2 linked regions of the Drosophila melanogaster genome follow. The protein of the gene in region 2 interacts with the protein of the main gene of each other region in a pairwise test. Each region holds a gene or a part of one and is shown on either strand. Other genes may lie near its edges.

Region 1 (10,301 bases), on a different chromosome or scaffold from region 2:
GAGTGAAGGACTTGTCGCAGCTGCGGCACAAGAAGGGTTTCGAGTAGCCCTGATGGACGCTGCGGATGTGGGCCTCCAAGTACGGTAGCTTGTACACCTGCTTGCCGCACTGATCGCAGGCCAAGCCAGCGCGTCGTTTACTACCAGTGCCTTGGCTAAGCTGTTGCTGGCTGTTCTCGTACTCATCTGGATACTCCTCATCCTCCCGGTCGTCAAGAATCTTCTTCTGATCCTCCTGCTTCTTCGACAGATCTACCTGCTGCCCATCCGCCTGCTTTTCATGCTCTTCCTCCAGTTCATGCTCATTTTCCTCATGGTTTTCCTTGAGTCCTTCGTCCGGCGGCTCCTCCTTCACCTAGGAAAGAACTAAGAAAGTATTAATCCAGGTTTAACAAGCCGAAAAGGACATATATATCCACCCTGTCGACCGCGATGTCCACTGGCTGCCATCCGATAAGCTTCTGGCTGGATTCCCTTGCCACTTGGCGCAGCTCGTCAAAGTAGACCACCGCGTTGTGGCACAGGTTGCAGATCTCAGTGGGAAATCCATGCGGCTGCTTCAATATGTCGATGTCCAGCAACTTTTGCAGAATCGCGATGAGTCGCGGATCGGGACAGTGGGTGTCGCGGTCGCGCAGATGACGCAGGCAAATCCTGCACAGGCGCGCGAGGTCCGTAAATGTGGTGAACATCGCCACGAATCGTGCGCGTTAAAGGCAACGTTCTACGTGGAAATCCAGTTCTTTTTTCCGCCTCTTAAATTTTCCTGCTGTGATGCACACGCACCGCCAGTGTTACCAGAGGGCGACACCTGTTGCGCTGCCGTTGATCGATCACTCTTATCGATATCGTTACCAATCCAGCTTATAGGCTTTAAAAAATTCTATAAGCTTGTATATCGAAAATATTAATACTACATTAATATTATTAGAAATCGCAATGCATTTTTAATCTTAGTCATAAATTAGGGTGGATATTAACATTTCCCAATGCGAAGAATGCATCTAGTAAGATGTTTCCGGTATTACAGTTTATTTCATCCTTTCAATATCTGGTCCCTCTCTATTTATAAATAAAACCCGCCTGAAAATTACACAATTTAAATGAACGGATCGAAAAGCAACTTTAGAGACCTTAAAACGGATTCTTAACGTGAATTAAACAACAAATCTAAAAATAATAATATAATAATATATATATATATATATATAATATATGAAAAACAAATAATTGTTTTCCAAATATGACCAAGTATTACGGCTGACAGTAATGCAATAATTTGTTACGAACTGCTTATCCTTCGTTATTGCAGTGCCTCTAGCTCAGGCTTACCACACAGCTCGCAATAGAAATATCGATAACTATCGACGTCTCACCACTCTGCACACCTAAGATCTCAAATAATCAAAGGAACAAAAAAAGGTAATCAAAAGCATTAATTGCAAATGAACATACATGCGCACCCACCCAACCTAGGATGCCCTGAGGATTTTACAGTCATCACCCAATATAAATAAATATAAATATAAATATACCAAAAATTACAAACAGTTGTCATCCTGAATTGCCCATTTTGGTCGTTAACCGCGGTTCATGTGGAAAATATCCTAGTCAGAGGCAAACGAGTAAGAATTTCAAAACAATATAAAAATATATATGATATTAATTTATTGGAATTGTAATTTATTCAAATAAAATTAAAAGTGTGGAAGCGGAGACAATTCAGGTCTTATTCGTAGAGTGAAAGAATTAAATTTAATTGTAAGTTGCAAAGCGAATGCTTAGCAAACCCTTGACTGAAATTTACTTCTTTATGTGTTAAGCTAAAGAGGGCTCCTCTTATGTATTTCTATGAATTGAGTGGATCGTGCATGGATGCTGGGATAAGCCAAGGATTTGAGCTTCGTAAGCGGTTTTGACCCTTTGGTGGGAGTCGTGAATGCGGCTGCGGATGTTTATGTCTGGTGGATTGGGTGCCCTCTTGAGTGGATCGCGCATGGGTACTGATCAGCCGAGAACTTCAGCTGCGTTAGCGGTTTTGACCCTTTGGTGGGAATAGCGAATTCGGCAGCGGATGTTAATGTTTACATTAGGGCAGGCTGGATTTTTTATTGTCACCAGAATTGGGGTTCTTATGGGATACTTGAATTTATGACTTATATCCTAAGGCATTCTATGATTTGGTTTATGCAAAGACACTAGAATAACAAGATGCGTAACGCCATACGATTTTTTGGCACACGATTTTTTGGCCGTGGCTCTAGAGGTGGCTCCAGGCTCTCTCGAATTTTTGTTAGAGAGCGAGAGAGCGGAGAGCGCTACAGCGAATAGCAGACAACTGTATGTGTGCACACGTATGTTCATGCATTGTAAATTTGACAAAATATGCCCTTCACCTCAGAAGTTCTTAGACTTTAAATCTATATTATTTTTGATCAATTGGCACCATGCGAAAAAATCTTGTTTTGCATTGCAAATCCTGATCGTCCTCGCGAAGCAATGCTTCACGGCCATACCGCGGGGGGTCCTGGATTTGCCCTCCTTACTTTTACATTGTTAATCTGTTAATCTTAATCTTAAATGTTCAATAGACGAATTAAAAAAAAAAAAACCTAATCCTGTGTAATCAGAGCACTGGGGACGCGCGCGAGTAGCCGGGCGAATCGAGTTAACGCTCCTGGAAAACCCGAAAATTTTCCGTGTCGCGGCAGCTAAATAGAGACAGGAGTGACTGTCTCTAACACACAGTAATAGTGTAAAAATCACGGAGCAGACCAATAGCCAACCCCTCCGCTTATGAGTCCCCCGTCGGAACTTCACCCTTCACACCCAACCCTTAAGTCCATGACGCTGCGCTTGCTCTCTTGACCAGCCGGGCAGCAGCATAATAAAAACCCATTTTGCGTCTGAGCCAAGGTGGCCGGCGGAATGGTTTGTGTCTGAGCCTCATCGGCCAGCACCGTAACCATCACCTGGCGAATGGTATAGGGCCGCACACCTTGCAGTCCAAGGTTCTAAGGACCCCACCCTATAAGCCAAACGATGGCACCCCCAAGGGGCCATTATAAGTGACCTCCCCCCCAAACAGAGCCCAACCAGCAAGGCCCCCTTTTCTAGAAATCGAGGAGATGGGAGATATATTATACAACGGGGTGAGGAGCATTAATCTGGCAATGAAGAACACATTTGCCAGATTGAAGGATCTCCAACTAAAGCTGCGCGTGAGGCTGCCGGAGGAGGAGAATTCGCATGCCAAATGCACCGCAAGAACTGATGCTAGCCAACAGACCATCCCTAATGGCCTCTTTAGCTATGAAGAACCGAGTAAGGGCAAAGACGGTGTCAAACCAAAGATCGCACGGTGATGTCCAACGCCCTGCACTCCAAGGAGCTGAAGTTGGCGTTGCCGACTCGACCAGCAAGACGGTAATAATGCTGCTCAAAGGTGCCTTGAAACGTGCGACACATACTGAATATGCCATCCAACTGTTTTTCTGTTTTTTATTTTTGTTCTTAGCTAAATGTAATATGTCAAATAAACGAATTTAAAAAAAACCTAATCCTGCGAACCAAACATAGGTGTGTGTTGTGATGGAGGCAACTCCTGCGCAGGCGCGCGATGTCCGTAAATGTGGTGAGCATTGCCACGAATTGTGCGCGCCAAACGCAAATTTTCCTGCTGCGATGCATACGCACTGCCGGTGTGACCAGATCGGTCACTCTTATCGATATCGTTACCAATCCAGCTTACTAGCTTTAATAAATTCTATAAACTTGTATATCGAAAATAAAATTATTATTAATATTATATTAATATCATTTCAAATGGCAATGAATATTTAATTTTAGTAATAAATTGGGGTGGATATATGCTTTTCCGAATGTGAAGAAAACATCATCCTTTCAATATCTGGTTTATCCCTCCCGTCTGAAAATTGTGAAAATACAAGCGATTCCACATTATGAATAAACGGATCTAAAAATCAACTTTAGATACCTTACAATGGATTGTAAGTTGCGTTAGCTTAAGTATGACCTGCAATTAAACAACAAATCAAAGAAAAGTCGTCCCGAGCGAGGAAAAAAAATAATATATGAAACACAAATAATTGTTTTCCAAATGACCAAGTATTACGCCTGACAGAAATGCAATAATTTGTTCTTACATTTATGTGACCCTATCATCATCGAATCATATTTCAAATTCCAATTCCGATTTCGTTATTAGGACATCGGGCTGTAGCCCTGGGTATCGTAATCGATAGTTGCGAAATAGCAGTCAGCGATAGTGTCTGACAAAATCGACGTTGTTCCACCCCTAACAAAGAGTGGTGATCTGAGCGCAGTCGGTTGATTTCATTTGGTTTTTTTTTTAATTATTCGTGTCGCCGCGATCGGATCGGATTTCCCATAATCTCTGAGCGTTCCGCCTATCCTTCAAGTGAAATGTCGCTGAATCCGCAGTACGAGGACATTGGCAAGGGATTTGTGCAGCAGTACTATGCGATATTCGATGACCCGGCGAATCGGGCGAACGTGGTTAATTTCTATAGCGTAAGTGTTGTTGCTTCCCGCTTCTGCTCGTCGCCTTTCATCTCTCCTTTATTCCCGTCTCCGCTTTCGCCTGCACATTTTTCGCTTGCCATCCCCATCACACGCACAGGTGACGCGCGGCGCGCCCTTGAAAAATTCCGCCTCCTTTCAGCAGAAAATGAATAAAGAAACTGTTGCAATGCGAAAAAGAGCGCGAAAAAGAGCAGCTGGAGATATACGGTCGGCGTATCCGTGATATCGTGGGAATAGGATGAATGTTGATAGGGGCGGGGGCAGCGTTCGATTCTCGAAGTTTCGGGTGACACATTACGCCCATGCTCGCATAAATAAATACACACATACGAAATATATGGCCAACATACAACTGCGGTTAGCACAATAGGGCCCAATATACGATATAAATTCGTGAAAAAATTGTATTAATATCTTGAAAAATATGGCATAATTGTGTTTCATTAGTTTCAATCAATTCAGTTTTTTTGTCACATAAAAGAGTAAATGAAAGAATAAAAAAGTCTATAATGATAAAGTATTGAAAATAAAACTATCTGTTTGATATGTTTTTAATTTAAATATTAACAGTTTTATAACCAATTTTGTTCTTAATAATACGAAATATCATTACTAAGTAAAACATCATCATAACACTTATATCATTATATATTTTATACTTCCAGGCTACCGACTCATTCATGACCTTTGAAGGCCACCAAATACAGGGGGCACCCAAGATTCTGGAAAAAGTTCAGGTAAGTCCTGATTATATACAGTCATGGGCATATGTATAATATTTTGCATACCCTTCCTATTCCTGCAGAGTCTGAGCTTTCAGAAGATTACCAGAGTGATAACCACAGTGGACTCGCAGCCAACTTTCGATGGCGGAGTTCTGATCAACGTCCTTGGAAGACTACAGGTAAAACCAGAATTCTCAACAAGAAAACTGTCCTAAACTCGCTGTCGGGGGGAAATTCAATGACTGCCTGCGGCGGCGGTTAGAATATTAGCACTGCCGACCAATTCAATCGATTTTCTTTTCAAGTTTTGAATTTTATTTTTGGTCTTTTCAACACGTAAATGCTTGACAATCGTTTTTGTAACAAATAGAACGTTTTGTTTTGGCTTTCACATAAGAACATTATTTATTTTGCACTGTTTCCCATTTATTTGTTATCATGTATGGGCTTTATTAAGCCTGCCACTTTATTCCATTAAGTGTTCTTCATTCTAAGATACATTATACCCGTTACTAGTGCAGTTAAAGAGTATACTATATTCGTTAAAAAGTATGTAACATGTAGAAGCAATCGTTTTCGACAAAATGTAGTATATATATTCTTGATCAGGATCAATAGCCGAGTCGATCTGGCCCTCTCCATATGAACGTCGAGATCTCAGGAACTATAAAAGCTAGAAGGTTGATATTAAGCAGACCGATCCTAGAGACACCGACGCAGCGCAAGTTTGTTGATCCATGTTGCCACGCCCACTCATATTGTTCAATATGAAATTTCGCGTTCTCACTTCCAGTCGGAAAAGTCGACCATAGCATTCTCTCTTGTTTTGAATATAATATCCATTGACTTATTGATGCAGTTATAGTAGGTAGATAAATGAAATGAATTTTAAAAAGAGTAACTGCCTCAATGTATTTTACGATACCTTATTGTTCAAAGTGGATATATGTAGAGACGTAGAAGCAAATTTCAATCGCCCATCACTTAAGATATGAAATCATTCATCATTCTTCCGTAAAGTCGTAAGGGCAGTGCTATTTGCCGACCGCCGCTGCATCTATTATTCCATATAAGTCACCTGAATCTGAATCGAATATCTCAATTCTGGTTATTACAAAACGAAACACAAATGCCAAAACAAACCAATGCAGACCGACGAGGATCAGCCGCATGCCTATATTCAGACCTTCGTATTGAAGCCGGTGGGCGGCAGTTTCTTTGTGCAGCACGATATATTCCGACTCTCGCTGCACGATGTGTAGCACCAGCGAGCCCGACCTGCCACGCCCAGTCCACAGACTCCAGCGCCCGGCTATATGTGTGTAAATCGAGATCGAGATCAGCAGCCAAACGATCAGCCAGCAGACACGAGACGAGAGCCAGTTAAAAAACGAAAGAAATCCATATCTAAGCGATAAGATAGTTCTGCTGCTTGTCGACCTTATGCCGCCCAGCCATGCCCACTCCGCCCACATATACAAAAATATTTATCCTTGGCGTCTCGTCGTCGTCCAATTTCTTCTAATTATTCTCACAGTACGTGAATGTCCAACGAAAATTAATCAAATCAAAATGTTGCGCATTTCATTTCGTGCATGGTTTTCGTTGATTTTGAGTTGGATTTGCTCTTTCTTTCGGTTGGTCGCTGGGGACCTGGAACCTCCTAATAATGCAATTTTAATGTAACACAAACAATTTCTGTAACCTCTATTGCTTTACATTTTTAACTAAACGGTTTATATTTATATTATATTTTTAGATGCTTTCAATTGATATTGCACTTATAAAAATTCTGTTTTTCATTTGTTACAAAACCAAATACCAATTGACTAGTCTTAACTTGCATATTGTTTTGTTCAATAGCTCGAAGAAGAGAACTGTAAATATCCCAAATTGTTAAGCGCACCCTAATATGCCTTAAAAAAAAAACTTTCAAATGTTGTTCAATTTTGAATGGAACTGAGGAAAGTTTTGAGAAGTTCTTATATCAGTGAATAATAATTTTGCTCGCACATTTGGTATAAAGTTTATTCTGCTCGTGAAAATGTTTTGGAGTTATGTTCAATTTATCGAGCGAGCCCTGTACAGTAAACACGCACCTTACACGATCAATCGGCTGCCAGTTGTACACCCTTTCCCTCTGACCCTGGCTTCAAACTGTGTGTACTCCATTCATATCTAACTCAATACGTTGAAATTGGTTTTTCGCACGCTTGTGTTATTGACTTTAAATGTGACTGGTTTGCCTGGCATCTGCTAACGTATTTATGATTTCATTCCTTTGCAGTGCGATGACGATCCCCCACATGCCTTCTCGCAGGTCTTTTTCCTGAAGGCCAACGCAGGCACCTTCTTTGTGGCCCACGACATCTTCCGTCTCAACATCCACAACTCTGCCTAGGAGCACTCCACTTACCTACGTATGCACACCACTCAGCACCACACATAATCGACATCCAAAGATGCCCAGCGCCAGATGATAACAACAAGCTCGGCAGTGGAACTCAGAAAAAAAAAATATAACAAAGCCAGCCAGCGGTCTCACGATTATCAGCAAATACAAAAGTTAGAAAAAGAAAAAAAAAAAAAAAACAATAAAAAAATAAGAAAATAACGCTAACTACTATTACGATGTCAACAAAATGGGCCGCCAGCTCACCTTCATTTGTGTCCCATTGTTGCCGGTACTCTCGCTTTACGATCCACGGAACCCTAGAATTATATGTTCTGCGAACACCTGGATCTCGCGATCTAATTTAGCTAGGACTATCGAATTTGGTGGTATGTGCCGTGCTACAAGCTCGTATTTCGAATTCCCGTGAAATGAGCAGGAACAGCAGGCCGGGATCATCGCCTACATAAGTTTAGAGTGATTTTCTAGACCGTTTATATTTCCAATTGAATTATTTGTACTTTAATTATGAGGATTATTTTAGATAGCCGTATTGCAAATGTATTGTGTCGAGTGTCTCGCTCTGTAAACAATTACTTGAGTACCGGGACTGCACCACACACAGTCGCAAGTATCGACTCTTGCTTTCTCATATGACTAATTGAGCGATGGCGAATTACTTTTTATTGAGAGAAAAAAAAAACACTTAAATATAAAGATAAACGTTAACAGTTTGGTTGTTTGTATGATTGGCGGAATGGCCAGTTGAACCGGAAAGATATGTATACCCTTATAAGCTATTAAATGCATACGAAAGAAGCTCCAGCGGATCTGGCCAGTGGTTTCCGTCTAAAAACTGAACGATTCACTTGTCGCGAAATGTGAACACCGCATCGAATCCGAATAGCACCCCATTGACGATGGACAGCGAGGCCTTGATGAGCGCGAGATCCCGAGTTCGGGTGCGGAAGGAGAACTCCCAGGCCTCAATGATGAACACACCGCTGGCCACGAACAAGGTGCAGCCCAGGACGCTGAAGAATATATCGATGCGCTTGTGAATGGGTGCCCGCATCAGAACGCCTGCAATTGCAAGGTATCTTAAGTAGATTTGTGTGCAAATTTCGTTTTTGGTTAACTTATTTTAGTATTTTAACTCTTAAGGACTGGCATTCCAAGGCGTACCTGCAAAGACCCCGATGACCACTATGATGTAGCCCGTGAAGGTGCCAGTGGCCAGGAACGAAGTCATTATATCGCGATCGTTGAAGCTGTAGAAGTGGAGCACCAGACACGCTACCGCAAAACCCTGGAAAAGTGAGGGGATTTTCATTTGTGGTGCTTCTTGGTGTTCTTATAATTTCCGAGTCTATCTGGTATTTCGGGTCTTTTCTTTTAATTCCCAAGTCGTTTTTTTTTTTTTTTTTTTTTTTTTTGACAAACCATTGTTTAGTAAGCATACGCGTTGCTTTTTGCATTAATTCATTAATCCTTAGAACTTGCAGTAAAATCACTTGAAAAAAAAATCCTTTACCAGTTCGAGAAACTTGACCACATTGAGGCGGCCTTTTCGCTCGCCATGAGACATTTTGTGAAACTGCTGCCGCTGACAGTCCTCGAAAATGTGGTCCAGCTTGAAAATGTACGTGTCGCAACTCAAGAAAGTTCCAAAGTTCTTCCGATTGGCCTCTTTGGAGCGTGCTCGCGACGGCAGAGCGCTGGACAAACTGATTCTGATTCGGAAATGGATGACGGATGGCAGGCAAATGCGGCTGCAGTTTGCAGTTGGGCGCAGTCGGGCCCAGCCAGCGAAATTAATTAATTACACTTAGGAAATAGGCTTTTCATTCTTGTTCCCATCCCTGTGTATCCGCCCACGTCCACCACGTCCGCCGGGCCTCTCGGTTCCATCTCTGAAGTGGAGACCGTCTGCGTTCTCCGCTGCCAGCTGCACTCGAGCCCCATCCCTTCCAGCTTGATTGAGTGGAGCATAATGTCTGTATCTGCATGCATGCTCTGTGCCGGTGGGTGGCCAGTGGACAGTGGGCAGCCGCCCAATGGACTCGGACTCATTGTGCTCGCATTGCCATTACCCCAAATTTGCTGCCTAACCTTCGGGGCCCAAGATCGGAGCTAATTCGCGGAATCGGGGCCAACGGGTCGCCAATTTTCCGATGGTAATCAAGTGGATAATGGAAAACATATCGCCGGGGAAATCACTTCCTCAAATCATGAATAATCTTATGGACTTCATGGGAATTATTAGGTTGTAAGGTTGTGTTGCAACGCTTTTCAGATATAAAAGTGGATTTGTAATGCATGGAATATATTTTTTAATATATTACAAGTACTGTACTTTTTAAGTGCAATTAAAAGCTTAGAGCAACATAAAAAGTAAGCCGAATTTTATATACCCTTCACCTATAGTAACTTAGCTACCACTAGCTTGGACGACTACAGTCGTCCTGTTTTAATAAAATGTATTTTATTTCTATTTATTTTTCCTGTATTTTTTACGAACGTTAAACTGCAAATCCCATTCCGCTCGCTCCTAGTTCAGCTAAATTATATAGTTTATATAAAATTAGATTAGTAATTACATTTCCGACCCGGCCTGT
Region 2 (6,072 bases):
ACCGGGGAATAGAAAACGGAGGGAGCTGGCTGAAGCTGAATACGTGGCGGAGTTGGCACACTAGCTGGGTAGCCCTTCTTGGTGCCATACGCAGTGCTAAGCAATTGGGCCAACTCCTCCAGCGTGTAATTAGGAGCAGCTATGCTGGCCACCGCTGGTGAGGAAGCCACCGAGGGAATGGAAGCCGGTGAAGCAGCTGATGCCGCCTGTTCGTAGACCAATGGATATGGCTTATAGGCCTTGGGTCCGCCCACTGGTCCTACCAATCCCCCATAGGATTCGCCTCCGTACTTGGGAAAGTATTTGCGCTGATGGACATGCGTGTACTCCACCTGGCCACCTGGGGCATACTCCCCAATGGATGAGATCTGGGTGAGCGGCTGCTTGGGCTCAGAAGAGATCACCTTGCGGCAGAACTCCTTGCAGCCCAGCTTGCATTCGCAGTAGCACTTCTTGTACTCCGATGGCTGTGTAGTGTAATCCGTGGGCGTGGGTGGGGCACTGGTTGTTGTTGGGTAAATAGGTCCCGGGCTGGTGGCGCTGGTTGTGGGCGGGCTCAACGTAGAGCCTCCGGTTGTTGTTGGCGCTACCGTTGTGGGCACCTCGCTGCACGGCACCTGTTCCCACACCTCCTGTTCACATTCCGCACAATATTCCGGGAAATGGGCTTGGGTCAATAGTGCCGATGCCATCAGCATGGTCATAAATAATAAATTGCAGCGTTCGAACATCTGAAGGGGGGAGAATATTGAATTTAGAATGGGTCAGAGAATTGCGCCGGAATCGTTCCCAATCGATTGACCCCGTTACCCTACCTTTCAACTGAATTTCTCCCTCGCTCGCTCGATCACTTTCCCCACAATTGCTGGAATTTCTGTCCCGGATCGCCGATGGATGGCACTTGTTGGCTGTTGGTCGGTCGCGTGCGAAACTCTTTCATGCATTTTGCTGAATAGCTCTTAAATACGCTGCGCTGGCCGAGAGCTTCTTCTTCTCGTTCTTACAACGCCGAGCAAATGGGTCGCGGAAGCGTTGACCGCATCACGTTCCAAACGCCCCAAACGGCTCGGAATGGGGCGTGGTTGTCCGGAATGGGTCCGGAATGGGTAAAGACAATCGCCAGATGCCGCCGCTTCCGTAATACACATTCAAGCATTTCTGCCCGCACTCGTCGATAGCTTGGAGTGCTCGCGACAAGAGTTGTTTAATCAAAAACATATAGCAAACATATTTATGTATGACCTTTGGCATGACAATAACCTTTAAGAGAAAGACGAACTTCATAATGCATTTTTTTTAGGCAGTTTCTCATTAGCCAGAATAAACAATCCTCCTGAAATCTTTAATTTTATAAATAGCCAAAACCATTCCGACCGCAATGATCATTTTTTCGGTTCTGCACAAAATTTCCAGCTGCTTGGGGGATTTATAATTTCTGGGTCTCGGCCTAGATCTGATATTAACGTCTGGGGTCGATTGACTTATCAATTTTTGGTTGTAATTCTTTGTGGAACTCAAGGTCTACACGTACACTATGGATAATGGTATTTTTGTAAGCGATATTGCTCAATACCTAAATTATCTTCCTACAAATTGAGTACAAAAGCTTTACTGATTTAAATAATAGTATCTTGACCATTTAACATTTTGTCTAGCTCATTATTTAAACAACATTTTGGGAAAACTCTGCTTAAAATTGGGGGCACTCTTAATCTTTTTTGTTTTAACAAAAATAAGCAACATCACTATTTTCATTATTGCGAGTAAAAGTCATAACAATTTTAGCCTTACAAAGAAAAATAGCAAAAAACTCCGATTTATTTAAAGTAGTCCTTTAAAAAAGTACTTTATTTTTTTTACTTTTATACTTTTAGTATTTATTCATTGTCCGAATCACCAGAGATCACTTAAAATCAAAGCCATTTGCACATTTGGATGAGGTGACTTATTTATGATTAATTTAGATTTGCTACACGACTTTGGAAGGGTAAGCCGGGGTAAACCTGAATATCAGGGAAGAAACTTTGATCATCCCGCACATCAGTTTCCATGGTTTCCTTGTGGTCACGTCTTTTTTCGATGGAGCTGCGCTTCCTTAGTTTCTCCCAGCGATTTTGTTTTAGTTGTGTCTTCGGTTTAACTGGCACTTGAATTTGAGATGGTTTTTTAGATTGACCCGGATCGGAAGTCTCGCGAACCGTTTCCGTGCGACTTGCCATTTCCACATCAATGGTGTCAGCTTTACTACGACCACTGGTAAGTCGCCTCAGCATCTCCTGATAATGCGGTTGATCCGCAGTTATGTATTCCGGTTCGTCTTCGGGATTGAGAATCTGGTAGTTGGGGGTGCCCAGTTCGAAGGTGGTGAATTCACCATGCTCCACTTTGTTCTTCAGATGCTGCGGCGTATACCCATACTGCTTAAGTGGAGCCATCCACTTGGCATCCGCATCCGCAACTGTATCCTTTGAGCTTCCCCCCAGGCAGAAGCCAAGGGTCAATAGCAATGTGACCAGTAGTTGTCGTGTCTCCGGGCAGCCGACCATTTTCGCACTGATGCTCCATGGATGCATTGGTCAGAGCGTTAGCCAAATCCAATAGAATCGCCATCGACGACGTCGACTGCGCCGGTAATTGGACGCCCCCAAAGTGGCAGCAGCTACGTGAGATTAGAGGCATCTATGGGCCATGTCGCGTCTGGCGGCGATAGCATTAGTTTATGCTTATCACAGTATCGAAGCCACCTGTATCGTGACGCATCATTTTATGAGACATCAATTCGCAAATATAATGATACGAATTCACTGAAGAAGCCAAACACACAAGCGAGTTGAACTAAGTCAAGCATTTCATTCACCACTTTTTTTTTTTGGTTTTAATAATCTTTCACTTTTTTGTGTCACACTTGTGAACTGTCATAATGTGGTTTTTCTTCACTTGGCTTATATTTTTCTTAACTGATCTTCACACTTATATAAGTATGTTTGCAACACAACCACTACTCAACTACTCATTTTTTTTTTTATATCAATAAAATACCCTCACCCAGCTTTTAAGTATATTCCCTATATTAAAAAATCCAAGTTTTTGTGTTCCTCTGCGAACAGATTGAATGGGATGCATCTTTATTGTAGGTTAATGTAAGCTGTCTGTATGTACACTCAATTGTCTTAATTGTAACTAAATTATGATGTATGGCAGTGAGTTTTCCCGGGTCAAGACGGGTTTCCTAATGGGTTTATGCAGCTGAAGTCAGTCATTAGATCCTTTTAGTACTTGTACTGTGCTGTTGGTCCGGATACAGAGACATAGTTCCCGGCGGACAGCTCCTGCTTGATAATGGCCTTGGGGGCGGCGTAGTGGACGAGTGGCGCCACCGGTAGCACGGGAGTCAGGATCTTGGCGGCCAGGAGCTTCTTGGGTGGCTCAGGCAACGGTATCTTGATGTCCGTGGGCTCACGCTGGACAATTGCCTCGAAACCGTTGTGATCATCCGCCTTGTACTGCACTATGCGGCGATAGCCATCGGAATCGATCAGCTCGTAGACACCCTCGACCTTGTCGTCCTTGCGGGACTCCTTTTGGCTCTTGATGTCGCCGGTGTGGGGATCGTTCACCGACCACTGGAACTCGTAGGCCACTGGTCCGTAGTCCGGCTCCGCCTGCAATTCAATGGCCCAAACGGCGCTGGCCAGGCACAGGCACAACAAATAGGTAACCTAAAAGGAAGACACCACTCTATGCATTAGAATCCTTTGTATCGCACCCTTTTTCCTCCACTCCACTCACTTTTCCCATCATTTTGTGGTATTTTGGTCCTTTCAGAACTCTTTGGGTATTGAAATGCACTCGACAAAGATCGAAATCGAAGTAATTAATCTGGGTAGTCCTAGGCTGCTTATATACAAGCTGGCCAACTGATTACCAGGCCAGAGCTACGCTTCGATCCAACTTGGATGTGGCAATCCACCCAAGGCGTCGTGTCGCTTTGCGGCACGCGCCTCCCAAACAAGATCGCCGACCAAGTGGAGCGCGCTCATTAAGTGAGCCCCGAAAAATTATAATTAAACAAGAAATATGCAAAATGTGGTTCGCACCAGCCTGAGCCATGCACTGCAAAAAATTAGGAACCAAGTTAGGCTTCATGTCGAACGAAATAGTAACCATTCCATTCTCCTAATTCTTCTTTTCTAATGAAAACGACGTAAAACTCACTTAATATTTTTAAGAAATTTCTAAATCCACCGAATCCAAAATAAAGAAATTTAAAAAATATTTTTATTAAAACTTAAATTTATAAAATCTTGTAGTTTTTTTACCCATGACGCATTTGATTTTTCTTTTGCGACGCACATTCGATAAGCATCCAAATGAATATGCCGCAAGTGGGAGAGCTTGATGGTGATCTTAGAGGTGTCGCGCTAGTTTGTCTGGTCCAACCAACAAATGTGGAGATTAATTTACTTTGTCAATAATTTGCAACATTAGGCATTGGGCAACAAGGCCTCCGACTGCATTAAGTCATAAAAATAATTGTCATGTTTTAATGGATAGCGCACCACGTCGAATTGGAAATGGGATGGGAGGGCAGAAGTCGGGGGCTGGAACCTTCACAGCTCGGAGGCCAGATCCTTTTGGCAGGTGATCTGTCCGCAACTCGTTTGATGGCATTAGCAAATAATTTAATTAATCGCCATTAGACGAGGGGTTTCTCTGCGCGCAGTCCAAGAAACCGGGTTACTATATCGCAAAAGTTTTGATTTAACGCAGCCGCCGAGCGTGTTTGTCGAACCTTAAAAGCAAATTCTGGTATGTGCACTGGTTAGGCGTAGTTGGTTCGGAATCTGGGTTAGTCCAGCCGTCTAGTTATTGCTCTCTGTGCGTAAACTTAGTGATCAGTTTCATCAGCTTTAGTATGGCTACTTGTTATTATGATCTATTGGTTGGTTGTTTAGTTTTTGGCTGGGAGCTATGTGATAAGATTAATCCCGCCACTTATCCTAATCAACAGGCTCGCTTTCTTTCTCCAACTTGGCGCGAATTGTTCTTTGACAGCGGGATCTCAACAATTCCCGTCTTAGGGCATTGCTCTCTGTTTCCACAGTTTGTATGAGCTGAATACAAGGAACAATCAGACATATATAATTAATGAGAATTAGGATTAAAGCTTACGCTATGGGTTAAAGCAGCTCTTTCCATAGTTTCTGCGTCGGCATCATCATCCTTGGGGTCAGATTCACTGCTAGAGGAGCAGCGCCGGGCCTGCATAGCTTTATGATGCTGTCCGGGATAGTCTTCCTCATATTTGGGCGGTGGGTCGTCATCGTTGGGTAGCGAGGCCGGCAGACTGGTCGCTCCTTCTTCTGATTTTGCCTTAAAAGCGGCTAATTCGTCCCGCAAGGATTGGTTTTGCATTTCCAGTAATTCCACCTTTAAACGAATCATTTTTACTTAAGCTTGCTAATACGTTCTAAAGCGTCTTACGCTCTCAAGTTCAAAATCCATTTCGTCAATAATGTCGTATGACTCATCAAGGGCTCTTTGAAGTTTTTCTACTTTGGCCTTCAGCTCGTTCAATTCGTTGACATCGCTTTGGGCCGACTGCCTTTTCTCCATAGCCATTCGTTGCTCTAGTAGATTTTTAGAGTATTGATCTAATTTTAAGCAAAAATTCCATTTCCTAACACACCTGCATTTCTTTGATCTAAAGAGGACTTCATTACCAAGCCTGTAAGCGTCTTCTGCCGTTTAAACATCTCCTCCAAAGCACGACAACGTTTCACTTTCTCCAGATAAGCGTCATGCAGTTTGTTGTACTTCTTCTTGTGCTTCTGCAGTGTTTCCACCAGACGATCTCGTTCCTCCTCCAATTGGAAGACCATGATCTTGGCCTCCACATTTATGGCCGCATTGGTGCTGTGGCTGGCAGATGCGCGATTTAGTCGATGGCGCAGCAAAATGTTTTCCTCCTCCAGCTCCGCACTTCTGGACTTTGCTGCAAAGGAGTTTCAATACATGGCGTATACGCAACGACATTGCTCATACGCACCGGCAGCCAGTTCTGCATAGAGA

What was found. Proteins that work in one complex are often made in the same cells at the same time.
Region 1: the proteins of CG13113 (region 2) and Ntf-2 interact in a two-hybrid assay, tested with the Drosophila melanogaster proteins (one large-scale study listed by BioGRID).

What each region holds. Positions count from the first base shown.
Region 1 is NC_004354.4:21,031,168-21,041,468, forward strand, and holds Ntf-2 (nuclear transport factor-2), read left to right. Parts: upstream 1-4,301; 5' UTR 4,302-4,446; coding exon 4,447-4,554; intron 4,555-4,663; exon of another isoform or gene 4,664-4,923; intron 4,924-5,231; coding exon 5,232-5,303; intron 5,304-5,371; coding exon 5,372-5,470; intron 5,471-6,442; coding exon of another isoform or gene 6,443-6,553; exon of another isoform or gene 6,554-6,827; intron 6,828-7,578; coding exon 7,579-7,692; 3' UTR 7,693-8,548; coding exon of another isoform or gene 8,549-8,766; 3' UTR 8,767-8,779; intron 8,780-8,847; 3' UTR 8,848-8,868; coding exon of another isoform or gene 8,869-8,992; 3' UTR 8,993-9,217; coding exon of another isoform or gene 9,218-9,271; 3' UTR 9,272-10,300; downstream 10,301-10,301. Other genes in the region: CG1529 (uncharacterized protein), read right to left, coding at 1-355, 420-692; CG15449 (uncharacterized protein), read right to left, coding at 8,549-8,766, 8,869-8,992, 9,218-9,271.
Region 2 is NT_033779.5:9,540,676-9,546,747, reverse strand, and holds CG13113 (uncharacterized protein), read right to left. Parts: upstream 2,578-6,072; 5' UTR 2,574-2,577; coding exon 1,956-2,573; 3' UTR 1,873-1,955; downstream 1-1,872. Other genes in the region: CG13114 (uncharacterized protein), read right to left, coding at 1-731; Cpr30B (cuticular protein 30B), read right to left, coding at 3,270-3,719, 3,790-3,801; CG17855 (uncharacterized protein), read right to left, coding at 5,001-5,114, 5,173-5,430, 5,485-5,630, 5,690-5,995, 6,050-6,072.